Linked DNA regions of Tamandua tetradactyla. The protein of the gene in region 2 purifies or fractionates together with the protein of the main gene of each other region. This does not show direct contact. Links are inferred from orthologs where the notes say so. Each region holds a gene or a part of one and is shown on either strand. Other genes may lie near its edges.

Region 1 (11,427 bases), on a different chromosome or scaffold from region 2:
AGGCAAAGAATCTTAAACACGAAAGTAACATGAAAAGATTCCTATTTAAGAAAGATCAATCCACAACATATATTGGCAGGGAAGATAATGGAGACAGGAAAACCAAGTAGGCTACCATTACAGTTGATCCAGTGAGAATAAGGGCCAAGAACAGGGAGTAAGGCTGATGAGAAAGGTACAAATCTTCAGGTGATGAACCAATACAGAGGGATGAAGGGAGGTAAGAAAAGGGAGTCCAAGAGAAAGTTTTATGACAATCAGGCTGTACTTAACTGTAGTGCTTACATAGGGAAAAAATCAAGTTGGGGATGCTAGTGGAGTTTCCAAGTGAGAAAATACATATTATGCCCAGTGTTAGAAACTAAAGCATAAAGTTTGAAGTGTTAAGCCCAAGGATTTGGTTTATCTTTTTTAAGCAAGACCAACCAACTGGCTCCTTGATAGTAAGAAAGAAACTATACAAGAATAAAAAGGGTAAATAACTAAAATGAGAAAGTAAAAAATTTTTTTCAATCCCATATTGGCAGGGTTTTAAAGTACTGAATTAGGAATTTCTGTGATACACTCAAGGTTTCCTATTTTCCCCTATTAAATAACTTTCAGGCATGCTTCATACAAGTCTTGGGCTCCACTCAGTGGAGACAGTGACCAAAAGCTCTGGCTTTAATATCATTCTGTTTCAATTTAAGTTCAGTTCTGCCATTTAACACTATGCCTTAGTGCTAGTTACTTAAGAGTTAAAGGTCTCAAATTTCCTCAGCAGCAAATAGGGAAAACAATATCCCTTCCTCATAGAGTTGTTATGAAGATTAAATAAATAACCCCTACAAACTACTTAAGTGCTGATACATTGTAAATCCTCAATAAATGCAAAGATTTTAGAAATGATTATTATTAGTTACTGTTACTGGTAAAAATGTTGTCACATCCTTGAAATATACAGGAACAAACAACAGAAAAGTTGACCTGGGTGGCAGTTACCTGCATGCTTGCCTTCTAAGTATTCATAAAACAGAGCAAGTCTATTTTGTGTACTTTCCTATAAGTATATTTGGAAATTTCAAAATATTTTTTTAAAGGAAAAAAGGACCAGAATCATTGCCTTACATAAAAAGGTCTGATACTGAAACACACATTCCAGACCAAATAAGAGTTTCCTTTTCACTACGCATTTCCTAGTTTTAGCTACAAAAATCATTTCCCTATCCAGGCACCAAACTGCTATTGGTGATAACTACTCAACCTAGAAACTTTAAGATAACCTTTATCCGTTCTCCTCTGTGAGTTTTATCCTTAAACACAACCAAATTTTAAGAAAGAAGGAAGAGAAAGAGGAGGAAGATGATAGAGGGAGGAGGAGGAGAAAATTCAAAACTCATTCCAGGCTGCAGCCATTTCCAATCTTGAATTTTTGGAAAATTCCTCCTTTCAGACTGGATAACACTAGTCCTCCAGAAGTAATTCTAGATTTTACTGTCATACACGCTTTACCATGGCTCTAATCACATTATAATTTCTAACTCTGCTCTGGAATAAATTCATTCAGATCTCTCTTTCAAGAAAAAGCTTCCAAGCAACTCTTTTCTGGAAGGCATATTCTCAGCCCACCACAGACCAACTGCAAGTCTCTTAACTGTTCACTACCTGGTCTCTCCTTTTTCACCTGGATATTTATTAACAAACTTCTCATAGGCCTCTTTCAAGTTTGGTATATACTTCCTAGTGATTCACAAACTGCGTTCTCTCTCCAAGGATCTCTTAAAATCTTTCTTCTATAAAGTCATTCTTGAATGAATATGAAATAATTTTACTCCTCCACTCTCTCCCCACTTACAACCCCCAGCACAATTCTACACTTCCATCTTCTTTAGAAATATTCATTTAATTCTTGCACCTAGCATCTTATTTGTGTAACAGCTGCTTATAACATGTTGGATCGTTGTCCATCCTGTATGTGAAAAAGGAGGAATGATATCTCATTAAAGTGCACCTCACAGTTTTGGAAAAGCCTGATAACCACAACTAGTTAGTCACAGAGCTAAGTGGTAGAATACATTTCTAATGTAATACAGTTTCTAATGGATACAACTAAATTAGATATGGTGTGTCTGGTTTTATTTATGCCTAAATCCACAAAGGTACTTAGTCAGACTTGAGCCCAATCTGCCTTTTAACCACATCTCTAGCACTCTCTTCTTTCTCCAAGCCTCAGCAGGCTACATTTTTCTCAGGACTCCTCAAACACTAAGTGTGGAGTACCCCTTCTTTCCCCTCCCCCTCATCCTGCCCTCTGCCTGGCCAACTTTCTTTGAGCCTTCATTATTGGCTCAATCCCATTCATGCATTAGGAATCAACTGGAACAGCTCCTCTGACCCCCAGCTCCTAGTCAGGTCCTTCTCGCGCATTCTCATTGTACCTATATCAGCATACTTACTGACATACTGCATTATAATCACCACTTTACTATTCAATCAGCCCCACTGTACTGTAAACTCCTGGAAGGTTCAGGCTGAATTCCTCCCCATTTGTCTCCCCAAGACCTGGAACCATGCTGGCTGGGCACACAGTTAGATCCCCAACAGACAATCAGTGCCTGACTGCTGAGACCTACTAGTGAACCCTGGGTAGGCTCCATGTGCACCTGGGTTCCTCACCTACTGTATCTTCCTTGCATAAAGCGGGGACAATGCAACCCCTGGCTCTTAAAGTTGCTATAGAATTAAATGAGGCATCATGAAGCTCTTAGTACAGTGCTTGCCACAGAGAACCATCACATTTGAATGACTAACATTACATCCTTAGTTATCCTATGTATCCTGGAAAATGTCGTGTTGTTGTGAGCAGTATTTTCAGTTTGAAAGACCAGGCAATCACACATCTAAAAATCACTGGCTACCTTCTGATCATGAGCAAATATTTGTTGTGGACCTGTTATGGGCAGGAGTCCTAGCTGGGTATCACTGAGCCCCTAGAACCCAACAAAAGAAACAATAAGACAAAACCTGTACCAATAGTCAAGAGAAAAAAAGGATGCTGTTAGTTTTTCTGTACAAACAGTATAGGTATTTTTCAAACAATCTAAGTTTTGCTTTATAATAGGGGGAAGGCACATGAAAAAAACCAGGGATAGAAAAAGTTCAAAATTAACTCCTGTCATCAAGTGAACCAACAGGAGGAGGCAACTGCTTGTTGCTATTTCCAAATTTCACTTTTACTTAGACATATTTCTCACAAAGGAAATTTAATCATGACCAGGACAGGGACAGACGACCTTTACTTCTCATTCAAATGGAAATTCCACAGATAAGTCCCTAGATTTTTTCCAGTTAGTTTAATTTTGTAGCTTTGAAAAAATGGCTGGAGTTTCATCTGTTTTCTACAAACAGAATGTGGAACGGCTTTTTTTTTTCTTTACCACCTTTAAAAGAGGATAAAACGCACCCTTCTTAATCACAATAGCCTCTTGATAAGAATTACAAAACTGGACATGGTGCCACCTAGTATTAGGAAAGGAGGCTGTGGCCTTAAAACCATTTCCCCCCTCACCAACCCAGAGGTCAGAGTCCCAGTGAAGTTTGTACATTATACTACATTGCTTTGGGTAGCTGCAGAGAGACCTCTAGCGCTGCCTGGATAAGCCTAGTTTGCAAATAGTACCTGCTAATGTCACCTTAACGAGACAATGGCAACATGCTGAGTAGCAACGAACTCAGTGACCACGATGAATGTTTACAGTTTTGCAACCACTTAGGAAATCCTACCTGCTTGGAGCAAGAGATACATAAGGCCGAACGAACCCGAGCATCCAATTTTATTTCCGTAAAACCCTTCGAAGAAAGCATCCACCTTTGCAAACCCCACTCCAAGAAAGGCTAAGAAAACGGGTCCTGTTAGCGGAGGTCGGAACAACCTTTCCTCCAAAGCCTCCACACAATAGATGGTAAACTACTGACCATCTTCACCTTGCCCCAAATGCCAGCAGAAGCAGGAGCGGGAGCTGGAAGAGCTCAGCACGCCTGACCCAAAGGACAACCCTGAAATACAAGAAAATGGTCCTGGCGCATCCTACCCTCCCCCACCCACCATCCTCAAACCCGTCAGTTCCCCGGCTGGTCCCCACCCCCTCTGCGGACCGCCACCACCAGCCTTGGGCCCGGCTCGCCCGCGGGAGGCGCGGGAACGGGCCGCGCCTCGGTCCCCAGCGCCGGCAAGCTGGAAGCTGCACTGCCCGGGGGCAGCACCCCTGCCTGCGCGGCCCCCGCCTCGGCCCCGCGGCCCTCCCTCGCCGACACCAGGCCGCGCCCGCGTGACGGGGCCCACCACGCCGGCGACTCGCGGAGGGCGGCTGCAGCCCGGGCCTCCCCGCTGACCGCCCCGCCCGGTGCCTGCCTGGCCGCCAAAGCGCGCTCACCTCCACATCGCGGCCCTTGTTCTTGAAGCTCTTGATGCGGTGGTTCTCCAAGCCGGGGTTCTCGGCCATGGCTGCGCGCGACTCCGGCGGCGGCTCCTCCTGCGGCGGCGGCGGCGGCGAGTCTCGGCGCGGAGGGGGGGACCGCGGGCGGGGCGGGGGCGCGCGTTCCGCGACGCCGCTGGGCGCGAGGTGGCAGCAGCGCCGGGGGAGCGGACCGATGGACAGGCGGGGCGGGGCGCGGGGGGGGGGTGACGGCGCTGAGGGGCGGGGCGTGCCCGGGAAGGGGAGGGGGCGGGCACGTGACCGGGGGCGGTGCCCAGCCTGGTTCTGGGGGTGACCTCCGCCCCCTAGCAAAGCCTCCCCAGCACCCCTCGGGCTGCAAGTCATACACCAGAAATGGAGCCGGGTTTGGTGGCTTTTACTCGCCCGCGTGCGCGAGAGCCGGCCGGAGACTACAGTTCCCGGCATGCCAAGCTTCGGCCGGGGGAGATTCCTCGCGCCCTTGGGAGAACGAGGGGAATGCCGGGAGCCCTGCGCGCGCCTGGGCGCGAGACCCAGCCCCAGGGCCTCCTGTGGGCGGGGAAGGGGGCGGTGCTTCCCGGAGCTGCACCTTGCGCCCTCCTGCGACGGAGGGGGCGGGGCTTCCTGGGGAAATGAGAAAGGAGCTCCGCTTGTGCCTTGCTCCCTCGCTTCTCCGGACTCCTCCTGCAAGAGTACCACCACCCTCACCCGCTGTTCCCGGGCTCTGCTTTGGGCTGGGAAAAGAACATTTATTTCCACCTGACCTGTGCGTGGGTGTGAACGTGATATGTGTGTTTACGTCTGTGTTACCTGACTTACAGCACCGGAATTAAGCTCGGGGAGAGCAGGCACTTTGGTTGACATTTCATAGCTACTGGACAAACGATGGCGCTTCAGCACCTCCGGATTTCTTCAGCCTCCTCCCAATCCCCGTGCTGCCACCTCCATCCCCTCTGTGGCAGCCCCTGTACGTGTGTGTCCCTGACTCCTGGTCAGCCACCACGCACAATCTCAGTCTCAGAGGCCCTACTCCGCGGGCTCTCCAGTTAGCATCTCTTCTTAGGCTCTTCAGAGGAAGAATCCAGGGGGATTTGCCTCAGAACACTCAGAACTGTTTTCTGGGGCAGGTGGGCTTCGTTTAATTATTTGTGAAATTCAGTTTCAGACTCTGGTGGATATAAACAGGCAAAAAAATGTTATTGTACATGTAGTTCAAATGAACTGATGTCCTTCAAAGATTGCTAGAAAGATAACCATGATGAGATTACTCAAAGAACAGACTTTTAAGGGGCCTAAAAGAGCCAGAGGTCCCAAGGTCACAAACTCAGAGGCATTCAATGGCCAGGCAGGAAATCCAATGGAACTGGTCAGGCTATGTCCAGGGGCATTTGTTTTCTGAGTGGCAGGTGGCCAGTTGGTAAACACAGGACTATTTAAAGGCTCCAGACCCTTGTAGCCCAGTGTTGCCTGAGGGTCTAATTTTTCAAAAGAGTAACAAAGCTGGATTTTTTTTCCTTTATTTTTAAATGACACTTTTTTTTTTTAATGTACTTGGATATCCAGTCAGTATTCTGCTTTGAAACTGTTATATTCCCCAGAAAAGCCATGTTCTTCTAATCTATTCTCCTGAGTGGAAACTTTCAATTAGGTTGTTTCCATGGAGATGTGACCCACCTTATTCAAAGGTTGGTCTTAATCATCTTTACTGGAGTCCTTTATGAAAAGATAAAAGGCAGAGATATTTTGGAAAGGGCTCAGAAACAGAAATGCCCCAGGAGGAACAAGCAAACACACACAGAAGCTCAGAGACATTCTAGAGAGAAGGGCCAGTAGACATCACCATGTGACTTCCCAGGTGCAAGAGGAACCCTGGATACCATCGGCCTTCTTCAGAGTCAAGGTATCATTCTCAGGATGCCTTAATTTGGGCATTTTCATAGCCTTAGAACTGTAAATTTGTAATTTAATACATTTCCTTTGCAAAAGCCAGTCCATTTATGATATATTGTATTCCAGCAGCTTTAGCAAATCGTAACACTTAGGAACTCCAGGCTTTCAGTCTGCCACTCCTGGTCCCTAACCCTTTTGAAAGAAAAAAACATCACTAACAAAAAACTAGGACTTAAAATGAACAGATTTCTTCAACTCTCGTTCATAAAGATATAGAGGTGGCATATGTGTCACTTTCCCAGATTATCTGGGAGGGGAAGGAGAGAAAATTCTATACTGTTGCTGAATCCCTGTTATAATTAAGCAAGGTATTCTTTTATCCCCTTCTACCACCTCCCTTCATCCTACCTGCTGCCTTCAAATGTATAAACCTTTCTTGACTCATTTTGGAGTTTTAGACATATTTGGTGATCACTTACTGTGTATGTCAGCCTTGGTACTAGCATTAAGATCCTCTTGTAAACAGGACAACCTGGTTCCAGGAGACATCACAACAAAATAAATAATCACTCAGAAAATGGGGTGGAAGTTAAGAAAGGGTAAGGAAGCTCAAAGCCCTCTACAGGGAGACTTTTATAACCTGTCCATTCCAAACTTTTGAGGCTCTCAGAGCAAAAGTGTAAGTGGAGGTCTACAATTCATAGGTATAAATATTTAGAAGTTATAAATCAAGCTGAAAAACTTAAATAAAATATATTCTAGCCTCTTGCATTAACAAATGCACCTCTTCAACAACCTTAGAGTCTGAGTTCAAATTTAAATGTCTTAATTTCCCCAACTTCTGCTTCAGAAGGTGGCTTCTCAAGGAGGGTTGGGGCCCCACCCACATCTTGCTGTTTGTCCCCCTTCTCTTCCCTGTCCTGATTCTGTGCCACACTGTAATGACCCATAATGTTCAAGTCCTGCCTACTCATCCCCAAAGCTCTGTCTCCATCCTTCTACCTGCCTCAAGAGGGTTAGGCCTAGATGCACAAGCAGAGGTGGCATGATGTCTCCCTTGGAAGACAGACCCAGAGAAAACACTTGGAAAGACCCTGGGAACAGGCTTGGAGTGATTTGAGCAGGGAACCCCAGGGCACTGGTACTCAGAAATTGGTCCAAAGGTTCAGGTTCCAGTGAATAAGATCCTTTGGCCCCATGGACCCCTTTCCTCATGGAGGGGGGTGGTGGATACACCAGAAGTGAGTTGAGATCCTCTCAAAGTTAGTTTCCAAAGCTGGGACCCCTCTTGCCCAGGTCTAACTTAGTCACTTCTTGCCATTATCCCCTGGTGATTTCAACATCCACAACTCAGGAATTCCAGTCCTAGATTCTCTTCACATCTTAACTTCACTGGGTTTCTATCACTTATAACCTATCAGGCCTTGGAGTTCTTAATCTCCAGGAAATGACCACCTCCAGCAACTCAAATTTGGTGTTTCTCATGGCTAGCACCTACCTGCTACTTTTGGCTTCACTGTAGTCTTGACCCTTGCCCTGAAATTTCTCCTGGTAACTCTTCTTTTAAATAGACTTATTTTCCAAATATATGTTGAGTGCTCACCACCCACCAAGCATTGTCTTCATCAGGGAAACAGGGTCTGGGGGCGGGGGGTACCAGAACAGAGGTAGAAAGAAAGGGCCCAAAGCCAGGGGATCAGCCAAACCCTCCTTCATCCTCTGTTTCATCATCCATCATTCCCAAAGCATTGGGAATCTTGCTAGGTGGCGATACACAGCAGGCAATGCAAACCCAACAGATCCAAAAGGGAACGCATCATTTTCCCCTCAAATCAGCTTCTCTTTGTAAATTCTCTGGCTCTATGATGATATAGCCGTTCCCCCAAGGCCTCCTTGCTCAAAGCCAAGAGCCGTTTTTGCTTCCTGCTCTTCCCTTGGCTCTCTCACCCTGCTACCATGTTAATTCATCCTTCAGTGTTTTCTTAATCCTTCAGTGCCACCCACAAGACTGCCATTATGCCTCTCCATTCTGGTGGTTTGGCACTGTAGGTGCTCCAGAAAAACATGTTCTTAAACTTAATCCACTCCTGTGAGTAGGAACCCATTGTAAGCAGGACCTTTTGATGAAGTTCCTTTGGTTAAGGTGTGGTCCACCTCAAGCAGGATGGGTCTTAATCCTATTACTGGGGTCCTTCATAAGCAGAATGAAAGTCAGACAGAGAGAGAGAGAAAGCCACAAAAGGCACAAAGCTGAAATTCAATGGAATCTGGAAGAGATGGGAGAGACCAGAAGAGGCCACCATGTGCCTTACCATGTGACATGACAGAGGAGCCCAGGACTGAGGATTGCTAGCAGCCAGGCTCAGAACACCAGCCTCTGGGAAGAAAGATCACTTTGCTGATGCCTTGATTTGAACTTCTCCTAGCCTCAAAACAGTGAGCCAATAAATTCCCATGCTTTAAGCCAACCCATTGCATGGTATTTGCTTGAGCAACTAAGGAAACCAAACCATCTGTTCTCTCCACAATGACTCAAATCCCTTCTCCTGATTTTCCTGACTTTTCACCATGATCTGACCCAGACATCCCTCTTCCTCCACCACTGTTAAATCATTTCTAAACTCAGTCTGGTGATTAAGGTCATAAGTGACCTGGCCCCAGCATTGAACACTTCTCTTATTTCTGGTTTTCCTACACAAAGCTCATGCTTTACCCAACAGGTTTGATTCACCCTTTTCCAAACATGTTTTTGCCTTTCCAACTTCCCATCTTTGATGGTTTTTTGGGGGTGGGGAGGAAGATGCATGGACTGGGAATTGAACTCAGGTCTCCCGCAGGGAAGGTGAGCATTCTACCACCGAACCCCCTGTGCACCACTCCCCACCAACCTTGATGTTTTGATTTGCTTAGAAAGCCCCGCCCCTATCTTTGCCTGTCAAAATCAACCCTTCTTTAAATACCCATCCCAAGTCCATGAAACTTTCCCAGCTTGGCACAGTGGAGGGACCTTTCAAATCTGAAAACTAAGGGCCTAGGACTGATTTCCACATGAACAAGCTTAGACAACTCATTTTTCTTCCCTGAACTCTCTTATCTACAAATGAGGATTCTGAATTGCTGGGGTTTTTGTGAAAATCAAATTATGAAATATATGTGAAATTGTTATCTTAATATTAACTTTTGCTATCTTTCCAACCAAGAGTGCATATTTTTTCTCTGAACCTCAGAACTTTACCTATTACTTTGTATTGGTGCAATCTGTGCAGAATCTAATCTTTCCCACCCACCTGTTGTTTCAGTTTGCTAAAGCTGCCAGAATACAAGATATGAGAAATGGATTGGCTTTTACAGAGGAGATTTATTAGATTACAAATGTACAGTTTAAGGCCATGAAAATGTCCAAATTAAGGCATCAGGAGGGAGATACCTTCTCTGAGGAAAGGCTGCTGGTGTCTGGGTTTCCTCTGTAATGTGAGAAGGCACATTGCGACATCTATTGGTCCTTTTCTCCTGGATTATGGTTTCAAATGGCTTTCTCAATTTCTGTGGTTCCTTCTTACTTCTCCTGGGACGTTTTCTTTCCCTGAGCTCTCTCCAAAATGTCTCTGCCTTTTATCCTTCCATAAAATCCTCTTTCAGCAAGGGGATGAAGACCCACCTTGAATGGGCTCCACGGAAACAATGTAAGCAAAAAATTCCACTCACGACAGGTCTGCTCCCACAGGGATGGATCAAAAGAACATGGTCTTTTCCGCGGTGCAAACAGATTCAAATCAGCACATCTGTAAATGCTTCAAAAGGCTTGTTCAAATCTGTGCTCCCCAGCCTAGAATAACTGGATCTCAGTGCAGGTATGCTGAATGAATAAATGAATTACTGAGTAAATGAACGAACGGATTCCCTCATGATCGCCTTTTCTATTTCACAGTCCCTAAGAGCCCCTGAAGCAAAAGCAAATACAGAAAAGTGAAGGTAGCAGCATTTGAATTCTTCAGCCCAGCTACCCAGGAGTACACGCATAAACTTCGGTGGTACTGGTCTAAACCAGTGAGAGTTTTCATTCACTGAATACCTACTGTGCTAAACATCTAGACACAGCATCTCCAATCCACCTGAGAACACTGCATGGTTAGAATGATTCTCTCTATCCCTCTCTGGGGCAGGAGGAGAACAGGGCTCTGATTCCAAGGCCCCGTGAGTCTCTGTGACAGCGGCAGGAGCAACGGAAGCAACACCCATAGAGAGATGGGTGGTGGTGTGGACAGCATCTAAAGCACTGGTGAGGGGGACCTCCAATTTCCCTAAAGAACAAATACCATCCTTGAGCTCCAGGAAAGCAAGTTTCCCACCCCAGGGGTGCCCCTCTCCAAGGGATGTTCTCTCCCTAAGGTGTGTCTCTTTCATAAGTGGCAACCCCTCCTCAAGGAATGTTCCCTCCCCATGGAGTATTCCCTCTCCAAAGGATGTCCCCTGCACAAAGGGTGTCTCCTCCCCAAGGAGTGTCCACTCCCAAAGGGATGTCCCCTCTCCAAGGGGTGTCCCCTCTTTAAGGGCTGTTCCCCCCCCAAGGAGGTCAGCTATGAAATAGCTGTGCCCAGCAGTACAACCACCTTATGGCTGTCATTAGCAGCAGACCCAGCTTTGTGGCGGTGAGGTGAGAAATCAGAGAGAAAGAATCTGGGAAAGTCTCAGAATAGCTGGGGACAAAAAGGAGCTAATGTCTGGCCAGTGGCCCTGCAAGGAGCAATCCATAATGTCAACAGTACAGATAAGGTGATCTCATTTCATAGGAATTGGCCGATGGGCCTGTGACAGCCACATGACACCTACAACATAATTTTCAAATAATTAGACTATAACAAAATAAGTTTAATGTCAAAATCATCATGGGCACTCTTTTATAATAAAAGAGCTTAATTCAATAATTCAGAATATACTTAACTACCTTGCTATGTCTCAAAAGATCACGATTCTGGACCTTAATTATAATTTTGAAATATTCTAGAACCAAATGGTCCCGTGGAGGTAAACACTGCTTGGAAGTTCAGTGACTAGCTGGTTCTTTAAATAACAGGCGGCGTGTCCTTCAACATGTTATTTCGCC
Region 2 (10,890 bases):
CATGAGGGAAGGAGAGGGAGAGATGTGCAGGATAATAAGTTCAGATTCTCACTTATTTAAACAGGCAACAATCATTCTTAACTCTGTGGAGTTGCTACACTCTGGTTCAGCAGCTACATTAGAGACACAGGAAGGATACTCTACAAAACAGAATCCACAAGCTGTTTTTTTCATTTTATCTAGGCCCATAATGATTTTCTTTATGTCACCACTTTTGCTGAAAAGTTCATAGATTTGTTCTTCAGTTGTGTAGAAGGAAAGATTTCCAACATACAATGTACAGCTTTTCTTCAGTAACTTCTCTTGTTCTTCATTGTCACCCTAAGAATTGAGAAAAAGGTAAGCAATACAATTTACAAAGGGCCCTGTTTAAATAATATTCCAATTTTTCATTATTTCTTATTTTTCATTAAATTTTCATTAAATATGAAAACTTTTCATTAATTCTGATTGGGGAATTAGCTTCTCTCTTCATCCCACTGCACAAATCCCTTGCAAAAAAAGAAGAGGGTTCACACTCTACATAGTGCTTATGGAAGGTCCAGGCAGCTTTTAGTAGCGCGTCAAGGCCACAAGCAACCTGCCTTCCACTACACTGTATTGCCAAGCTTAAAATCCAAATCTTGAGCCAATATGTGAGAAAACGCTCTCTTATCCTCTGCAGCAAAAAATAAACGACTTTCTAGAGATAGGGTTCTCCTTATAATGCTCTTAGAAATGCACAAAGCAGCAACTGCTTAGATGATCACATGCTCAAATAATTTTCTGAGCTTAGAAGAAAATACAGTAATCACTAAAATCAAGAGATGTCACTTTCTGGGCTTCCTAATTTAGGAGCCAAAATGAAGCCAGAGACAGGACTATAACTTGGTTTCAGCAAAAATACCTGACAATTCCTGAGGACAACAGGGCTACTCATGGCAATTTAGGTATCTTTACAGAAACCAGTGTGGCAGTTCCTGGACTTCCTTTTCTACCCTCTACATTAAGAAGGACAAATGCTGATTAAATAAGAACCTCACCAGCTGACCTACTCTCAGGCCCTTCTGATCCAGATAGGGCTTTAACATCAACCATACTACTGTGTGGATTTAAGGTGACTTCTTAAACCTAATGGTGGTATTACTGCTTACAAAGCATAAGCTGAGTGGACCCATTATCAATTCCCCACAGAGCTCTTTCTTCAGAGCCCTTCTTTCTTCATTTACTACTCCCTAAGTAAGGCTGCCCAGTTCTTCCATTCTGAAAATATGACCTTGCGTTATTTGTTTCTGAATGCTTTGTAGGAGCATTCAGAGTAATAGATCTCATGATCACATTCAGTGACAGAGAAACAGGTAAATCATATAAACTCACATCAAAAGAAAACTGATTAAATAAATTATGGCACATCAGGCCTCGCTTTCCCTAAGCCCGACTCTGCAAGTGAAATCACTGCCCTCCCTGCTACGTGGGACATGACATCGAGGGTCAAAGTCTCCCTGGTGGCATGGGAGATGACTCCCAGGGATGAGTCTGGCCCTGGCACTGTGGGATCAACAATTCCATCCTGACCAAAAGGGGGAAAAGACGTATAACTAATAAAAGTATCAGTGGCTGAGAGAGTTCAAATACAGTCGAGAGGCTACTCTGTGGTCACTCTTAGGTAAGCTTCAATTAGACATTGCTACCTATCATAACTTGCCAAACCCCAACCAAAACCATTCCAACCAATCCTAAAGAACACTTGGGGCAATATATAAGATTCTACAAAGATTCCACACTGGGGGTAACTTTCCAGAAAACTACAATCCAGATGGGTCGCAGGACCAGATAAGTCCTGAAACCTAGAGGGCCCAGCCTCTCCAGAACATCAGATAGTTCCATCTCCCTACCCTATATTATTAATAATCTCTTCCAACATGAAAAAGTTATAATAGCCATAGCCCAAATACCCCTAATGAGTGGGATAGAAAGATTAAAGGTGATGGTGGAGTTATACAGAGAAGGTAGGGTTTAACAACAAATGATTTCTGAATCACTGATTATTTCTTTTTAATCTCCAGTATCTTGAAGCAGCTGTGGAATTGTAACCCATACTAAACTCTGAAATCTATTCTACAACTAATTATGCTGTGCTTTGAAATTTATTACTTTTTTGTATATATATATTTTTCACACAAAAAAAGTTGATTGTGATGATAAAATATTTATTCCTTCTAGTCTCCTATGTTCTGGAGCAGTTAGAATGAAAAATCTGAGATAATGGTATGGCAACTCATGACAAACTCTGGGATGTGTCCTGTAACTACTTGTTTGAAGAGTGCTTTGAAAACTATTGCTTTTTTCTTTCTTTGTTTTGTATAAATGTTATACAATAAAAAAGTTAAATAAATATGGCACATCAAATATGTATCCCCTAGAAAAATGCACAGCCTCATGCAATATGGAACATTTCCAAGATGAAGTGCAAAGTGAAAAAGTGAAAAGTGCAAAGCGAAAAAAGAAAATCAATGAAAACAGTATGTTCCAACTTATTAAGTCTGAATATACACAAGTATCACACACAAGAAACTGGTAACTATGTCTGAATCTGGGAGAAGCAGAGATTTTATGTATATGTTAAATCATTCAGTTCTCAGAACTGTATGAAGAAGGTCCTAATTTATCATACTCATTTTACATAAGAGGAAAAACACAATTAAGTAACTTGTCCAAGGTTCAACAGCTACTCAGTAGTTGTAGCTGGAATTCAAACCCACTCTTACCTCAATCCCATACTACCCTTAAAAGCCCACAGAACTCCTGGGATGAGCCGGCACTCAGCACCATAGGATTGAGAGAGCCTTCTTGACCAAAAGGGGGAAGAGAGGAATGAGACAAAATAAAGTTTCAACGGCTGAGAGATTTCAGAGTCGAGAGGTTACCCTGAAGGTTATTCTTATGCATTATCTAGTAGATACTGTGTTCCAGTAGCCTTGATTCCTGAAAACAATTGTATAACTATATAGTTTTTACAATGTGACTGTGTGATTTATCCAGGGTATGGACAGGTGAGTAAAAAAAATACGGACAAAGAATGAATAAATAATGGAGGGGGGTAAAGGGTAAAATAAAAAGTTGGGCATACTGAAATACTAGTGGTCAATAAGAGGGAGGAGGAATGTATGAGCTTTTTCTTTTTATTTCATTTTCTGGAGTGATGCAAATGTTCTAAAACGATCATGGTGATGAATACACAGTTATGTGATAAAAAATCCGTACAAAAATCATTCTATGTTAAAAACAGGTTTTCAGAACTTTGAAATAAAACATTAGGAAAAGTAAAATCACTTTATATTACTGTTATATGTTAAAAATTACAGTAAGGAGGCATTTCCTTTTTTCTGCTGTTCTCACATGTAAGTAATGTCAAACTAATGGCCTATGGCTTAAGACAACAGTGGTGTAAGTATTTACTTAAGGTATATTAGTGTGTATTCCATTCAGGGAACACTCGAAATTCCACCTGGCAGTACTGTACTACTATCCAATCAAAGCAACAGGCTTTAGACTGTAGAGATGAGTAATAGCAAAAGTCGAATACTTTCAGTTTTAATCTTGCAGGATGGTTTAAATTCAAGATACTTATGATGTGAAACTTTGTAAAATAATGAGAACTGTAAAAGTGGTGGAAATGGAAATCATGCTGGCACACAGTAAACATTAAAAACTGCTGACCTTTACAATCACTACTAGATGGTTGAGAGCTCTTAGGGTGAGGTAACTGTCTCCCCCCTCCCCCTAGGGCTTAGCTAAAAGCTAAATGTTTACTAGATAACTGGATTGGTAAATCCACCCCACCACTACCACCGCCTTACACATGTCCTTTGTTGATAACGAAAAGTCCAGCATGAATAAATACTGCAGGCTCTCCTTTTCCACAAAAATCTTCTCTGACACTGCCCAATATAAAATGTCCCTCCCGCAAATCAGCAGTTCTCTGATCTTGACACCCAGACATCCTCAACGTGCCTAGCTAGGCTGGTCCATCTCTTTACACGGACAACTCCATGTGGTGGGGGATGCCGCAGGGTTCAAGTTTTATCTCCCACCACTGAGAACACTGTAAGACCTTCCTACTAGACAAAGGAAAGGACCCAAAATGCCAAAGGGCATTGTTTCGGTAATCTAGATTAAGAAAAAAGAAAAGCCCCGATATCTGGGTCAGGAAGGCGTCTCCGCGTACAAGGAGCAAATGCAGAACTGAGAAAGCGAGCCTCGAACTCCCTTTCTATGAGAGGAAATAGCTTCAGTGATAACCAAACGCCCTACCGAATCCATTTCCTGTCTCCCCAGGCCGCACTATGGCCTTACTTCAATATGAGGGACAGCATCAGGGTGGAAGACACAACAACGAGACAGGGCAAATCGTTTCTCAGAGTACTGGCCCAGGGTCCTCCCTCTCGTGGCCCGGCCTCCCTTACCCGGAAGTGCTGGTCCCGGTATTGGCTCAACTCCACGTAGGAGTCGCTGCGCAGCGCCTTCAGAAATCCGCTAGACATAGTGCACGGAGGTGAATAAGGACGCTGCGACGCCGGGAACAAGGTGGCCGAGGCGGAGCCGGAACCGGAAATGCGTATGGTGGATGCAGAAAGCGGAAATCCCAGGCCCAATCCAAGCGCGTCAGTGTCGTCATCAGGTTGCGCCGATGCAGGACGCGGTCCTTGTTGGGAGTCGCCGATGAGAAAGCGTGCGCTGTGTGCTCCGGGTTCCGGGGCGCTCCGGGTAGGATGGTTCTTCGGCGGCTACTGGTTTCCTTGCTGAACAGCTCGCAACTGGTGGAGCGTCTGTCCGAGTCGCGGCCCATCCGGCGTGCGGCGCAACTCACGGCTTTCGCACTGTTGCAGGCCCAGCTGCGCGGTCAGGACGCAGTCCGCCGCCTCCGGGGCCTCAAGGCTGGGCCCGCGAACTCCCTGGGCTGCCGTGCTGCCCGCTTCAAAGACACCTTCACCCAGGAACTGCGCCGCGGCCTTCGGGACCGCCCGGGGTCACCACCAGGTAGCCAAAGAGGCCCGGGCTCAGAACCCTAAGCCCGGGCTTGGCCGAGTCGAGATCACCTACTTTCCCTTCTGGGCTCTACATCAACCTCGACATTGAAGCACTGCGCACGGCCCCGAAATCTGACTACAGGGTCCCACTCATGGGAAGGCCCAGACCAAACCGACAAGCGTGTTGAAACCCTTTGATCGGACCGATACAATATGGGGAAAGACGCCGAAGCCCGACGGGTAAAGATAGGCCAGGCCCAGATACAAGACATACAGAGAGCCACAGCCTGAAAGAGATCCTGCTCTCTGCAGATGAGACCGAAATTCTTGATAGATGCTGCTGCATCTACACTGGTACAGCCCGGCACTCTTCCAAAGAAGATTACTGACGGAAAGACAACCCTGCAGCTGCCAAAATACCCTGATTAAATGTGTGAGCTGATGAATGGGCCTGAGTGTGATACTTCTCAGGCAGGATGGATTAGGAATCCTGGGGGCTGTAGGTCCGTGGTAATAGTAAACACATATTGAGTGCTTGCTTTGTTGGTAACTTGCTAAGTGCATCTGAACATGTAAGGAAATGGAGGCTACTTGTAAGTTGCCAAACATCTTACAGAGTGGTTTGTGAACACAGGCACTTGTCTCCAGGGCCTCAGTCCTTAATTATAGTTTCTTTGCCCTTACCCTGACCCTCAATGCTTGCCTATACCCATCAGCACCAGCCCCTGGAACAAGCTGCCTGGGTTCTTACTCCCCCATTTTAGAGAGTAAGGGATACAGACTAGGACTGTTCCAGCTAATGGGCCTATGATTAAGAAATCAATTGTATACAGAAGTACCCTGTCTTTGGGGCTTCTAGCTGAATTTCTGGTAATCACTTATTAGGCTACTTCATTAATCGTGTAATCGAGAAAGCTTGAAGGCACAGGAAAGGCTTTTAGGCTGGTGGCCACACAGAATTTAATACCTAAGCTTTTCTCTCAGTCATGAAGAGTCTACCCTGGGAATTTCAAACTCATGACCCTGGAGTACAAGCAATAAATGGGGAGGGCAGTGTTACCAAGTGGAGAGTCTCTAACCCATCCAGGGTGGGTATTGGCTTCTCAGTGCCAGCTGGGTTTTGTTGGGTGGGGTTGTGGTAGTGCTGGATCGTATGGTTTTTCAGAAGCTGGAAATTATGTTTTGTAGGAAAAATCTGATTTCTAGAGTATTGACAAAAACATTTATTACTTCACATGTAACAAAATAGCCATTGGCTACCATTTTTACTACCTTAGCTTTGGCCTTGCTTTGTCTTTTACAAATGAAGTAGAGGTTCCAGTCCTGGTGCTACACGGTTTTTGGATATAAAGGCTATCCAGCTATGTATTGTAATTAGTATTGCTTTCATGCAGACAGTCCTGCTTTTTACTTTTATAGGTTTCTGTATCAGTATCATTTTAGCAGCTCTTTCTAAGAGTAGGATCCTTCTTGCCACCTTCATTATCTCCATTATTAAGAAGATGAGTCATGGGCTGCCACCACTGACACCATCAGTTGATCCTCCTCTTACAGATCCCCTCCTAAACCTGTATCAGGTCCTCTCTGGGAATAGACCCAGTGATTACTTTGAGAGGCATAAAAAGATGCTCTTCAAATAATACTGCCAGATGTGTTTGAAACCTGAAAGCTTTCACAAGTGACAAAGCTTTCCATTCTGCCCTGGATACCTACCGGAGTGGCTGGCTGAGCATATCCTGGCTTGCCTACAAGGTGTATTTTCAACAATTTTCTCTTCTCTGGCGATAGGGGATTGGTTTGAGGTTTGCAATCAGATGCAGACTCCTAGGAATTCATATTCAAGACAACGAATTATTGGTAGCCATGTTAGTGACTAACTAAAAAGAAAGCCCTGAATTACCTACTGCCAAGGGATCCTGATTCTGCCCTTATCAAGTCTTAGTTGTGTGACTCTAGATTTTAGGATATAACACAGTATCCTTATAACAGATTTTCCTTTTTCAGGTTAGTTACAATCAAAAGAGCATTAACTAAACTAGTAAACGTCCCACTGAAAAAATGAAGCATAAATTGAAAATACACCAGAAAAAAAGGAGAACAACTCTCCACCCAGTAAGTCACTTAAAGTGGATATGCCCGAAGGATCCTTAGGGTATTGGCTTTTTGGAGGATAATGGTGACTGAAGAGTTTACAGTCAAAAGCAGGAGAGGAGAAGGTTAAAATTGTGTCTAAATTGGCCCTGTTTGCTTTGACCTGAGAAGGTCAAAGAAGGTATTCTAGGTCCTGCTCCATCCATACTTGAAAGGAATATATCTTTTCAGTTACAAATAGAATTGTTCTATCTACTCTTGTTCTCCACTTTCCCAATGGCGTATTCTGATTTGGCATCCCACCCTCCTGCCTTTCTATCAGAAGGGCTATTACATCCTCTCTGATGCCAGACGCCCCACTCTCCTAATGACCAAAGTCCTGGTTTGACCTCCTCCTATCAAAGTTGCTATCAAAGCTCCCTCTTCAGGACTAGAGGTGACGCCCCCTGGCAGTGGGGAGCCTGAGAAACTTGCCCTGCCTGCTGCCTCTATCTCTTTGGTCTCTGGATATCAGAACAGCAGACTATTAGCAGTCCCCAGCCCAACCCCTTACCCCCAATATAAACAAGCGCACAAAAGGAGAAGCAGTAAGGAAGTAATGAAGCTTCCAGATGCAGATTGGCTATTTGGTAAGAAAGGAAAGAAAAGGGGGCAGTTCTTTATTTTCCCTGGAAGAACTTGTATAAGAACTAATTTCCTTCTATTTTTTTTTCAGATAGAGAAAACTGGGTCCATCTTTTCTGCTCTAGCAAGAGGTGATTTCATTCCCATCTAGCTTCATTGGAGGGGCAGCCTCCCATGTTTATAGTCAGTAGCCTGTCATTCCACCATTACCTTATTGATGAAGAAACAGACCAAATTCTTCCCAGCATCCCTTTCCAAGCTCTTCTAAGTCCTGACGAAAGATGGAGGGAAGCAGCTCACCCACTATACCACAGACCAATTAAGACTCATCACTTGATGCTGGAGAAATACCAACACTTTACAGACAGATATACAATCTACATGGACTGCCACAAGAACAATTCCTCCAGGGAATTCTGAGGGTGTGAACCCAATTGCAGGGGAAGGGACAGGCAAAAGTGCCAAGAATCCCAGAGGACAGTTTGGAGTCCCAGGATCTGGAGTGTCTTCAAGGTGACACGTGATTTAATAGCCATAGGGCAGAAAGCCATCTTTGGCTGCAAAATAGACAAGTGGTCATCAATGCCAGATGGGATGATAAGCAATAGAGGTATGAAGACAAATCAGAAAAGCAAAGCACGAGAACAATGAAGTGTCATGATGGGTATAATAAAATTCCAAGGAGGGAAATATCTTGTGTTGTACTACAGCCAACTCATACTGGCTCATGAGATCAGACTGTTGACATTTTGTCCCAACTCTTAGTTCAATGGTATCATATTGGTAGCTTGAATTGACTGTGGAGAAAATATTTACACCATGGAAATTAGCAAATGCTCCAAATCAGGGTCCCCACAGTCACACTCCAAAAAAAAGAGTTAGTTGTTAAGCATCTGCCAGCACATCAGACTTTCCTCTTCCTCAGTGGTGCTGAGTCTGAAGGAAGAGGTGACGCTAGAGCAGCAGCCATAGAGCAGCATGCCTGCAGTGGGTGTTGCTCTAAGGTGACTAAGGCTTTGGCCAGAATGCAGAACTTGAAAAGTACTCAGGTTTGGTCTTTTTCAAAGGTTTGGTTTCCTGTCTGTGCTAATCTCCAGGTCGCTCATCTTCCCTGTGACTTGGGTGCCTCTTGTTTTCATTTGGGATGGTAGGAGCATGAGGAAGGAGAATGAAAACAGTCTTAGGCATGACCACAGCTTCTCAAGCTCCCAGTAGCCAGGGTGGAGGGTACCCTCTGTTGTGGGGAGAAACCTGCCTAGTGATGTTGGTTTGTCATGGAGTTTGCTCTCTAGCCTCTGAATTCGGAGAGTGACAGACCACATATAAGAAGAAAGACCTCTGGGAGCGCCAAGTTGTCCTCAAGTGCTGTCAGATACTGAATGAGCCCTACAGGTTTTCTGCTCCCGCAGCAGGCAGAGGGCCTAAACAGACAGCAATACTGAGGAGGGAGAACATCTGGGCACCTAATCTGGGAAAATGATTCTCAAGGGGCAAGGCACAGAAATGTCCAGAGTTTCCCACCTCCTCTGTCAGGAACAGTAGTAGAAGAGAGTGGGGAGAAAAGACAGAAAATTACTTGTTTTGGATATAACCAAACGCTGAGACAGCAGGCATCAAAGTGTCACAAAATACAAAAACACTCCCAACTTTCATGCTTAAAGAGTTTTACTGCCCAGTTAGGGGACTGTAAACCCCAGGAATGACTCGGTTTTAGCTGGCAAGACACCGCAGAGGCTCTCCAATCCATGTACACTTGGAGAGCAGATTAGGTGAAGAGATAGGGTTTTTCTTAAAATCACACAGCCATTAAGTAGAAGACCAGGACTAAAACTCAGGTCTCCTAAATCTGAGTCACATGCTGTCTCTACCTCACTGATTTCTAGGCACCTGAGAAGCCAACAAGTTATCATGGCAGCAAGAGGTGATGGAAGGTGTGGGAGAGATCATTCAGGAATCTAATTAGCAGTTCATCTCTTCACATTCAGGTATTTTGATATATTTAAACCATCACAGTGGCTGAATGAAATAGGGCAGGAACAGACATTAGGTACCACTGATTATGCCAGGATTCTTTGGAGACCTTGGCATCAGAACATGACTGGTCATATCTTTGGTCTCTGAAGTAAAAGGTACCCATTTACCCAGAAGGCAGAGCAGCCAGCAGCTGTGCCCAGGAGAGGCAGAGTGAGAATTCTGAAAGAGAAAAGAAAGGATGAGAACCCGGTCCCTGACCTACCACCACTACCTACCTACAAGGTGGAGTGGTAGATTCTGGCTGAACTTTGGGCAGTGACTGCTCCACCATTTGTCCAGGCTTCTCACCTAGCTCCATGATATGAAGGCTGAGGAGATCCCTCCAAGTCCCATTCAGCAAGGAAGACAGGGCTGGTGGGTCCTCCAGGGTTAAGTGGGGAAACATGAGTGTCTCATTCTTGAGGGGGAAGCCGCACCTCTCCACAGCAGGCCTGATGGTGCCAGGGGTCACCACGAAGAGGCGGCAGATCCATGGTCCACTTGCTGCATGGCAGACTGACTGTGTGGTGACGTTGTTCAGGGCTTGGCACAGGATCCAGTCCTCAGGCCCACCCATGTCCACCACCTCCACAGGTGACCCCAGACCTGGGAGGCGTAGGAGGTGCCGGGGGGGCATGTAGGTGTGGGCGAAGAGGAGTGTGTAGTGTGTGGGCACACTTGGGAGCATAGGTGCATGGACCACCTGCTCCAGGTGCCCCAGGCCAGGCACTAAGCCCCCCTGGTGCAGGCAGCCAAAGAAGAGGGCTCCCAGGGCATTGAAGAGAACCAGGGCACCCTTCCTGGGCACAGGTTGGGTCTGCGGAGTGCAAAGCAGGACAAGGGGCACCACAAGGGGGATCAGGAACCGTGCTTCCTGGTGGCTAAAAGCAGACAGTAGGGCCAGGGGTACAAAGTAGAGGAAAAGGAGGTGACACCTGGGGCTGGACCTCAGGCCCTGGGCACACAGTGCCTTTAGGAAACCCATTTGTGCAAAGGCCCGGAGGCAGGCTTGAAGCTGTTGCCATGCAGCCTGCAGGGCCTGGCCATGTAACACCCCAAAGAGCAGGAAGCCGTTGACTGCCAGGTGAGTGAGCCGCACATGTGTGCCATGCCTTGCCAGGTTTTGGGGATCCAAGTTGTAGTGCAAGAAGTT

What was found.
Region 1: the proteins of NCBP2 (region 2) and KPNA3 purify together in Homo sapiens (co-immunoprecipitation; 3 studies listed by BioGRID and IntAct, with this or other methods). This does not show direct contact. The link is inferred for Tamandua tetradactyla from reciprocal best matches to the Homo sapiens genes NCBP2 and KPNA3.

Annotation. Positions count from the first base shown.
Region 1 is NC_135330.1:108,180,213-108,191,639, reverse strand, and holds the start of KPNA3 (importin subunit alpha-4), read right to left. Parts: upstream 4,546-11,427; 5' UTR 4,482-4,545; coding exon 4,413-4,481; intron 1-4,412. UniProt on the Homo sapiens protein: Functions in nuclear protein import as an adapter protein for nuclear receptor KPNB1. Binds specifically and directly to substrates containing either a simple or bipartite NLS motif.
Region 2 is NC_135336.1:16,603,431-16,614,320, reverse strand, and holds the start of NCBP2 (nuclear cap-binding protein subunit 2), read right to left. Parts: upstream 4,598-10,890; 5' UTR 4,524-4,597; coding exon 4,446-4,523; intron 322-4,445; coding exon 140-321; intron 1-139. Other genes in the region: protein NCBP2AS2, read left to right, coding at 4,752-5,051. UniProt on the Homo sapiens protein: Component of the cap-binding complex (CBC), which binds co-transcriptionally to the 5' cap of pre-mRNAs and is involved in various processes such as pre-mRNA splicing, translation regulation, nonsense-mediated mRNA decay, RNA-mediated gene silencing (RNAi) by microRNAs (miRNAs) and mRNA export.